2 linked regions of the Cricetulus griseus genome follow. Each later gene encodes a partner of the first gene's protein in a complex. Links are inferred from orthologs where the notes say so. Each region holds a gene or a part of one and is shown in the gene's direction. Other genes may lie near its edges.

What was found. The genes of interacting proteins can lie anywhere in the genome.
Region 2: the proteins of Il22ra2 (region 1) and Il22 are in contact, whole or in part, in a crystal structure (PDB 3G9V), measured with the Homo sapiens proteins. The link is inferred for Cricetulus griseus from reciprocal best matches to the Homo sapiens genes IL22RA2 and IL22. Residues at the interface, in NP_443194.1 of Homo sapiens: Lys65, Ile66, Tyr99, Gly100, Gln101, Arg102, Trp104, Gln128, Glu129, Pro130, Tyr132, Met148, Pro150, Arg151, Thr153, Trp155, Trp156, Glu157, Glu200, Pro246, Met247, Leu248, Asp249, Arg250; in NP_065386.1 of Homo sapiens: Phe47, Gln48, Pro50, Thr53, Asn54, Phe57, Met58, Lys61, Ser64, Leu65, Asp67, Asn69, Thr70, Asp71, Val72, Arg73, Leu74, Lys162, Gly165, Glu166, Asp168, Leu169, Met172, Arg175, Asn176.

Annotation. Positions count from the first base shown.
Region 1 is NC_048595.1:270,154,892-270,159,130, reverse strand, and holds the start of Il22ra2 (interleukin-22 receptor subunit alpha-2), read left to right. Parts: upstream 1-1,383; coding exon 1,384-1,441; intron 1,442-3,546; coding exon 3,547-3,682; intron 3,683-4,239. UniProt on the Homo sapiens protein: Isoform 2 is a receptor for IL22. Binds to IL22, prevents interaction with the functional IL-22R complex and blocks the activity of IL22 (in vitro). May play an important role as an IL22 antagonist in the regulation of inflammatory responses.
Region 2 is NW_023276806.1:138,230,927-138,235,116, reverse strand, and holds the start of Il22 (interleukin-22), read left to right. Parts: upstream 1-1,342; coding exon 1,343-1,531; intron 1,532-1,915; coding exon 1,916-1,981; intron 1,982-2,098; coding exon 2,099-2,242; intron 2,243-3,113; coding exon 3,114-3,179; intron 3,180-4,190. UniProt on the Homo sapiens protein: Cytokine that plays a critical role in modulating tissue responses during inflammation. Plays an essential role in the regeneration of epithelial cells to maintain barrier function after injury and for the prevention of further tissue damage.

The DNA of each region.
Region 1 (4,239 bases):
CCAGCAACAAAGCCCCAGTGTCAGCAGGAAATACTCATAAAGATTGCATCGCCCTTTATTTACTCATTATCAACAAAAGCCTAGATGTTGGGTTTCAAACCAAGGACAAATGACTGGGATTTCTATTTAACATATCTAAGTGGACCTGGCTGCCAGGTTCTCCCTCAGTCCTTACCTGTTACAGGGCCCTCCTGGCTGGCATGCCTTGGCCTCTACTCGGAACTCTCCATTCCAGAGGGTTGAATGGCCCTTCCCTACATAATCCAACCATTTTGTTACCCACTCTCTTGGTTACTTTGGGCCTGCTGGCTGCTGCACCTGGTCCCCTTCTCTCCCCTCTTCTTTCCCTCCCCCCTCTCCTCACATGGCTCAGGGTCATGTCCACTCTGGACTCTCCCAGAAGTTACTGTCTCTGGCTATGCTCTCTCTCACATATCTGAAATAAACCTCCTCCACCATACCTAGCAGCAGTCATATCCTTCTTTTTTTTTTTTTTACATTAATATACAATGAAAAAGAAGCCAGAGTGCATTTCCTCTTTTGACCTCCAGTCTCTTCAAAGCAGAAAAAAAGCAAAGCAAACAAAAAACCTACGACTTTGTTGTGCTTATATGCATTTTTTAAATGTCCTTAAAAACACAGGGGAAATTTTTTGGTAGAGCAATATGATGATGCTTTGACAATGAGCAGAGGAGCTGGTTCAATCTGATTATATGGGTGCTAGGAACCAGATTTAATGCAGCTCATACTAACGGTCTTCCACAATCACTCTCTTCAGGCATCACTTGGTTTGGCAACTTTGAAGATCTTCCTTGAGTTTAATTGCTGAAAACTGTGGGGTAGAAATAGGAAAGGAGAGACATTTATTGAAAGGGACTCAAGGCCACCTTGGAGAAGAAAAAGCTAAGAGTATATATAGCATGGGGCTCTGTGGGGAGTCATTGTCAAGGGGCCTGAGGCATAAATACCAGAGTGACTAACTGAGAAGCTATAAAAAAAGAGTTGCCTCTTTGAATAGCTGCCAGGGGCTGGGGCAGACACAACTGCCAAGTATATTACTCTAAAGTCCTCCTGGTCCCCAGAAACCACCCTTACTCGTAGAGCCGAACTGAAGATTCATTTAACTCACCTTGCATAATTCCTGTCCCACCCTGCCCTGAGGACCTCAGGATTTGCTATCAAACTATATTATATTTGTTAAGAGATTCCTATTAGTGGTAAAATAATGTAACAACATAAATTTCTTTTAAGGAAACATTTGCCATTGGTTGAGCCCACGGAAGTGACGGTCGGTCCATGTGTGGATTTTTACAGTTCCCTCTTCTCAGCAGTCTCCACACTGAAAGGAACATTGGTTGCCAGACAGGCACACTTGCAACCATGATGCCGAACCATTGCTTTCTAGGCTTCTTCATCATGTCCTTTCTGATCAGTGCAAAAGGTAAGTACTTTACTTCCTTCTAATTGGCAAACTTTGAGTCTGATCAAGACAAGGTTAACAATGGCTTGGATGATTTTCTGGACTCTGTCATGTCACCAAATGGTCCCAGCAGGTTAGGGGAACAGTTTCTCTCTGCATCCTGAATAAGTAGCTCCACAGGTACCTGAGTTCAGGACAGAGAAAGGCCCCTTCATGGTAGAAAGCAGTTCATTACCCGATACGAGACTTTTCCTATCTGTGGAATGAAGATTGGAGGTTACTGTGGAGACTTAGAGTTAGTGTATATGCTTAGAGAAGCGCCCCCCCCACCCCAGAACAGAGACCACAAGCAAATGGCGTTTACAAAGAATTCTTCAAGAACAGTTTATCAAGACAAATTGCTCAGAAAGGCCCCTGGAGTCCCAAAGTCAATAGATGGGAACTCTCACTTAATGGCTTAAGTAAGTGCCCACAACTATGCAGTTGTTCTATGACTCTACATTAAAGTGACCCCAGCCTCTACCAGACAGAAATATGGGAACTAGAGTAGGCTATTCCTCTTTTCTGTGGTAGCAAGGACTCATTTGGCAGGAATTCAAGTGCTGGCAAAATGACCCTGCTTTAGCACACCTGTAACCTTGGGAATGATGTGTAACTTTGTTGTGCCTGTATCCATACCTGCAAATGCAGTAATAATAGTATCTCTCTTATGTAGTTGTCTGGGTATAACTTGAAAAGAATGAGCATAGCCTCTGATGAATATTTCTATCTGTTCACTAATAAGCATCAAGAAGGAAGAAATTGAAGGAGGCAAAGGCTTATTATTATTGCATTATTCTGCCTCCACCATCAGCTCCTTCTCATCCAGGGCTTTACTTTTAGTTTTCAGTAGTAAGAAGCAGGCTGTTGAGTCAGCCTGGGCACAAAATCAGCTTTACCACCTGCTCCTGGGCAGATTCCTTCACTTCTCCAAGGCTCATTCTCTAGACCATAAGAGGAAGACTTCCCCGGTATCTTTAGCATGGAGGAGCTGGGCATGTTCAATGAGCAGATGACGGAAAAGCCCCTCAGTGCTTTGTGCACTGAGTTGTTACTGAGAAGGCATGGTGACAGTGAAGCTGTTAGAAAAACCCAAGACAAGTCCAGAGACATAAGAGACAGAGGGCAAGGAGCCAACCATCTTCAGGTTAACAAGCCAAGTCTGGGTGGGTCTTCACGAAACTGCCTGCCATCTCCTGATAATTTTTATGTGCTAAATAGGATTAATCAGGTAGTGATTTGGGTGCACAAAATAAGCCGTGGTAATAGACCTTTTCCAAGTCCATAGCAACATTCATGCATGGCAGGAGGCCTTCAAAACATACCAAAACAAAAAACAATGTCAACACCATCCGTGGAAAAGAAAAAATACCCAAGGAAACCATCCTTTTCTCCCTTGCCAGAAACTTGGGCCCCTGAAATAAATCTTATTATAGATCTCTTTTCTCTGTAAGATTAAATGCAGGTAAAGGTAGGTCACCCTTGTCATATGATTTGAAGAAGAAAACACAAATAATCCTTCCATGCAAAGTCTTGCCCTCTCCTGCCTATGACTTTGCACCCTCACCAGAGCCCACAGCAGGTCTTGGGTAATTCCCCCACTAGTGTGGGTTGGTGAATCTGGACAACTCTTCTTGAGTACTTGTAGCAAGTAGACAGACAATTGGTCTTTCATCACAGTCATTACATCCTATCACTATTTGGGAATAAACAAGAGATTATATTCTTTCCATGAGTTTTAGTTCCTTTACCCATTGGGAAGTGCTAGGGGAATGGTATCATTACCTTTCTTTTTCTAGTATGAAACACATCCTTCTGCAATTTTACTTTAGACTCAGGTGTAGCTCAGTGGCAGAGAACTTGTCCTGAGTTCATTCGCTAGAACTGGAGAAGGGAGGGGACTTTCATCATGCATCAAAATCTCATACTGAAGAGTTAAAAATGTTGATTTTTAATTCTGTCACCACTGCCTTCCCTTAGAGTGACTCCCCAGGGGCTCCTGATGCAGAAAATACATGAAACCCTGCTGCTGCTCACAACAGTAGTGATCACAGTAATGTCCAATGCTGTCCTTCTTGCCACTTTAGGAATTCAGCCCACCCATGGATCTCTGAAACCTCAGAAGGTCCAGTTTCAGTCCAGAAACTTCCACAACATTTTGCGCTGGCAGCCAGGAAGTTCCCTCACCACCAATGGCAGTGTCTACTTTGTGCAGTACAAAATGTAAGTAGATTTAGTTGGCGGGGAAGGCCATGGAGTAATGCATTCTGGGATGCAACGGAGTGTGAGGAGCTGAAGACCTTTGGATTTTGCTTTATTTGGCTTTTTGAGACTTTCCAGGAGGGTTGAGAAGAAGCAGAGGTGGGGACAGAAGGTTGTCTGGTGACACAAGGGTATGACGATGTGTGCAGTCTTTAAAACAGATACTTCAGCTCTAAGGAGCTCAGAAAGGAGTCCTTCAGCTTCATGCATTTCCAGCACATGACGGCTTTCAATTTGTCAAATGAATGTTGGCAGCTACTTGCTCAGACCAGAGCAAATTCTCAGTTAAGAAAAGCTACTGGTGGTTGCACTTGAGGCAAACATGGAAACATATAAAACATATATATAAAATATATAAAACATATATAAATATATAAAACATATATATAATATATAAAACATATTTTTAACTGGTAAGTTTGTGTGTGGGCAGGTTTACTATCTAGAATGGCATTAATGGCTCTGTGAGCATGTACACACACTAGGACACACAGCAGCATGCTCCTCTTGTTGGATCT
Region 2 (4,190 bases), on another chromosome or scaffold:
AGGGGCATCTCTATGCTACATCTGCATTCTAACAGCAATCACTATTGATGTCCTCTCTGCAACTCTTGGGAAACCTACAGACAGCCCCAGGTTGCATTTTTGTTTTAGTGACTCTTAGTCACACTCATGAAATACCTGTATGCTAACACTGACATTAATGGTCTGTCCACTGGTGAATATGACATATGGTACATATGTTACTATTAAAAACTATTTTGCAATTCTCTGTTGTCTTTTTCTTTTTTTCTTGCAGTTATTTATTTCCTACCCAGAGACAAGAGTGAAGCTAGTAAGGAGAGTCAGGTCAAAATTGAAGAAGAGCCATGAAGGCAAATCACCTCTATTTTTTGTGAGTTTGAGGCTAGCTGGATCTACAAAACAAGTTCCAGGACAACTAGGGCTATTAAACACAGAAACCCTGTCTTGAAAAAAAAAAAAAACAGAAAAAAATGTTTACTGGATTGTTCACTACCAATATTTCCAAACTTAAATTGATCCTAGTTATGATTTTATGAGTAAATCTTCATTTTTTCACCTACCATAATTGTTTGCTCACTCAAAAACAGTCTCTGTATGAGCATATCTGTGGGAATGGAACCCGTGAGAAAACAGTTATATTAGCCAACACCTGTTATTTTTAAAAACTAGTTGTAGTTAAGCATTCTGTATACTAAAAAATGGGATAAAATTATACTAAAAATTGAAATAAGCTCCAAATTTTTGTCATTGCTTATTTGAAAGCACAGAATATAGGGCATGGGTCTTTTATTTCTGGTCACTTCTAAAGAGATAAGAATCTATGAAGTTGAAAGGAAAATGAGTTCGTGACCAAAATGCTGACTCAGTTACTACAGGAGATCAAAGTTGATTATACTCAATCAGAATCTACTACAACAAAGCAATTGTTTTCTTTGAAAAACATGTAGAGTTTAGAAGATTTCTGGGATTTGTCTGCAAAAGCACCTTCTGGGCTCATACAATGACGTTTTAGGAAAGGCTTCATGTCTCAAGGTGGGAAGGCTGGGAGGCGGTGTTCTGTGGCCTCCTATGGTGGTTAGGGAGTTCTCAGAAGACAGAACTGGAAATTAGATAATGTCTGATGTCATATGGTTCAGATACCCAAAAATCGGGTGTCCTATGGCTATAAAAGCAGCAACTTCTGCCTTACCCATCACAAGCAGAGCTACCGAAACAGGTAAGCATACAGACTGATGCAATGAGTTGATCTGTTTGGTGGGAAGCTATCCGACTAACTTGTTTCCCTCATGCTTTTGCTTCTTGTTCCCTTGTTAGCAGGTTCTCCTTCCCCGGTTATCAATTGTTCACATTTAAGTTGTCTGTGATGGCCGTCCTGCAGAAGAAGTCTATGAGCTTTTCCTTTATGGGGCTTTTGGCTGCCAGCTGCCTGCTTCTCATTGCCCTGTGGGCCCAGGAGGCAGTGGGACTGCCCATCTCTTCCCACTGCAAGCTTGATGTGTCTGATTTCCAGCGGCCATACTTCACCAACCGCACCTTCAGGCTGGCTGAGGAGGTACATAGGCATCTCTCTCTTCATGTCTACTGGGGATTCAAGGGCCCCTTGCCATTTTCTCTGAAGCACTTTGTGAGCTCTTTAGCCACACTTTGTTTCCATAGGTGGAGACTTTCTATGTCTCTTTAGAGACTTTTTGAGGACCTGATCTTAATTAGAACCTTTTTTCTTATATTTGGCCTTTAGGATTCATACACTACATTTTATCCATAGAGGAGCCATGTGAAAGTCACCTATTATTGACTTTTTCACTTCTCTGTGCACTGTTCTAAACTCATACATTCAGTGGCTGGCCATTAGCCCCTATGGTAGCATACATTTCTACTTACAGGCTTTTCTTCTACATCCTTGTCAACCAGGCTCTTAGGCTTTTCTCTCTTCCAGGCCAGCCTTGCAGATAACAACACAGATGTCCGACTCATTGGAGATGAACTGTTCCAAGGAGTCAATGTAAGTTCTCTTCATGAGGAGCAGGGAATGTATCCATCTCCTGATTAGCTGCAGTACTTGATGGATCCTGTGTGATGTCCTGTAATGTAACCCTTGCTGCTTCCTTTCTACCTTCAGAGGAATAATCGATGCTACCTGATGAAGCAGGTACTCAACTTCACCCTTGCAGAAGTGCTGATTCCCCAGTCAGACAGATTCCAGCCCTACATGCAGCAGGTGGTACCCTTCCTGACCAAGCTAAGCAACCAGCTCAGCCTCTGTGTAAGTCTTTCTCTTAGCGGCATCCATCTCCTCTCCTCTCACCTTCTTCCCTCTTCTCCTATTCCAATTAGAGTGTGTGGTCCCCTCCTCCCTCCTTCCCAACCCTGGCAGTGAGACTGGCAACTAGGAGGACCTCAGTAACATCGGAGGCCACTTGAAATCAGTCGCAAAGTGATTGCTTTGGCTTTATTTGAGTCATAGTTTGAGTTTGTAGGGGTAAGGCCTTATTAATTTTACCTGTGGAAAGAAAGCAACTTGACCTATGCATAATGAGAAAAATGCTGGGAACTGTAAGAAAAAAGGCCTAGATGAGGAAATATATCCACTGAGTAGAAGTTGTTGCGGGGAGGGAATGGCACAGAGCAAAAGTCAAAGGGGAAGAGGACGTTCTTATGGTTAGGGGTGTGCGTGTGAGAAGCGCACTCCTTTTTGTTCAGACTGGAAGTTAAGAAATGTCAGTGTATAAGCTTGATACCCCAGACACCCTAAACTGTGAGCCATGTCCATGAGGAGTTGGTAGGCTGAAGGGACCTTGCATTGACTGGGAGGACCCACTTTTCACGTAAGATGCTTCCTGCTCATTTCTTGTGCTTTGTTCCCACCTTTGATGAGGTTCAGTTTAGGTTTCTTGCTGCTGGTGGAAACCTCAGTAGGCTTCCCCAGAGAAGAGGACAGCTCTTCTGCAAGGGAAGTACCTGGATTTCAGTGTCCCAGAGAATCTAGGTCACCCAGTGAAATCTAGGTCACTGTGGGCAAAAATTACTAAATATCTCCATTCCAGGTGAATGGTCACGTGTCTTTGATGCACTGAGGTATAGGCTTTCACACGACAGAGATTCCATTAGTGAGTGAGTTCTGTCTTATTTTGCAGCAAATCAGTGGTAATGGCCAGCGCATCCAGAAGAATGTACAAACCCTGAAGGAGACAGTAAAACAGGTACTACTGACGAGTGATATCATAAGCCATTTAACAGGAGAAGCATAGCTTTCTTTCTTCGCCTTTTTTTTCTCCCCTTCCTCTACTTTGTAACATTTTACTTGATTCCTCTACTATCTGATCCATTACTTGCTGCGTGTGCATCTACTTGGGCCTATATATCATTTAGCCTGTTTCTAAATCTGTAGGTCATAAATTCTAGTAGAAAACTTAGCTCAGCTAGTGTCATTAGCCTGGGCTCTGAGGACGGTTGGTGGCAGAGCCAGTGCTGGAACTCCTGGGTTCCTGCTCAGCACTTACATTCCAGCAGGTGAATGAAATTATTTTAGCATAATTAATTTGACAGGAAAGTCTTGGCTCCCATTTACTCATATAATTTGAAGAAGCATGCATTAGGTTATTAAACTGATGCTCTAAAATGTGACAAAAATCAGAATAGTAGCAAAAGAGCTGGACTTGTATATACGATGAATATTTGGAATCACTGACATTAATAACTATAACCAGAATTATAATATAGTGCCTGATAGCTACCGATTGAAGATTAAACACAAGAGCAGATAACCTTCCAATTTATTTTACATGGTTTCAAAAGTGAAAATATCAGTCATGGATTTATTACAGGGAAATAAATTTTCTTATTTTTTACTTTCACACCCTCAAGACGCCACTATTGAGCACTTCCCTACTGTGAGCTAGTGCATAGCTTTACAGTGATCAACATTGCTGCATGGCCCCTTTGGGGGGAAAGAACAGTGGCAGGAGGCTCAGGTCAGGGAGCATGACTCACCCTAAAACAGAGGCATGATTGGCAGCAGTGAAAGTGAGGCTTTTCTAATTAAATACTCAGAAACAAAGAGGCTCTGGTTGAAGGAATTATTAGTGCTATGCCTGGTCTTATCGGTCTTCTATCTAACTTAACTATTTTCTTCTTGAGCACAGTGTGTTGGACATGGCTGTTTTCTTCTGTCGAGTATTAAAGGCTTTGCAGCTTTTCAGTGCTGTGCCAGT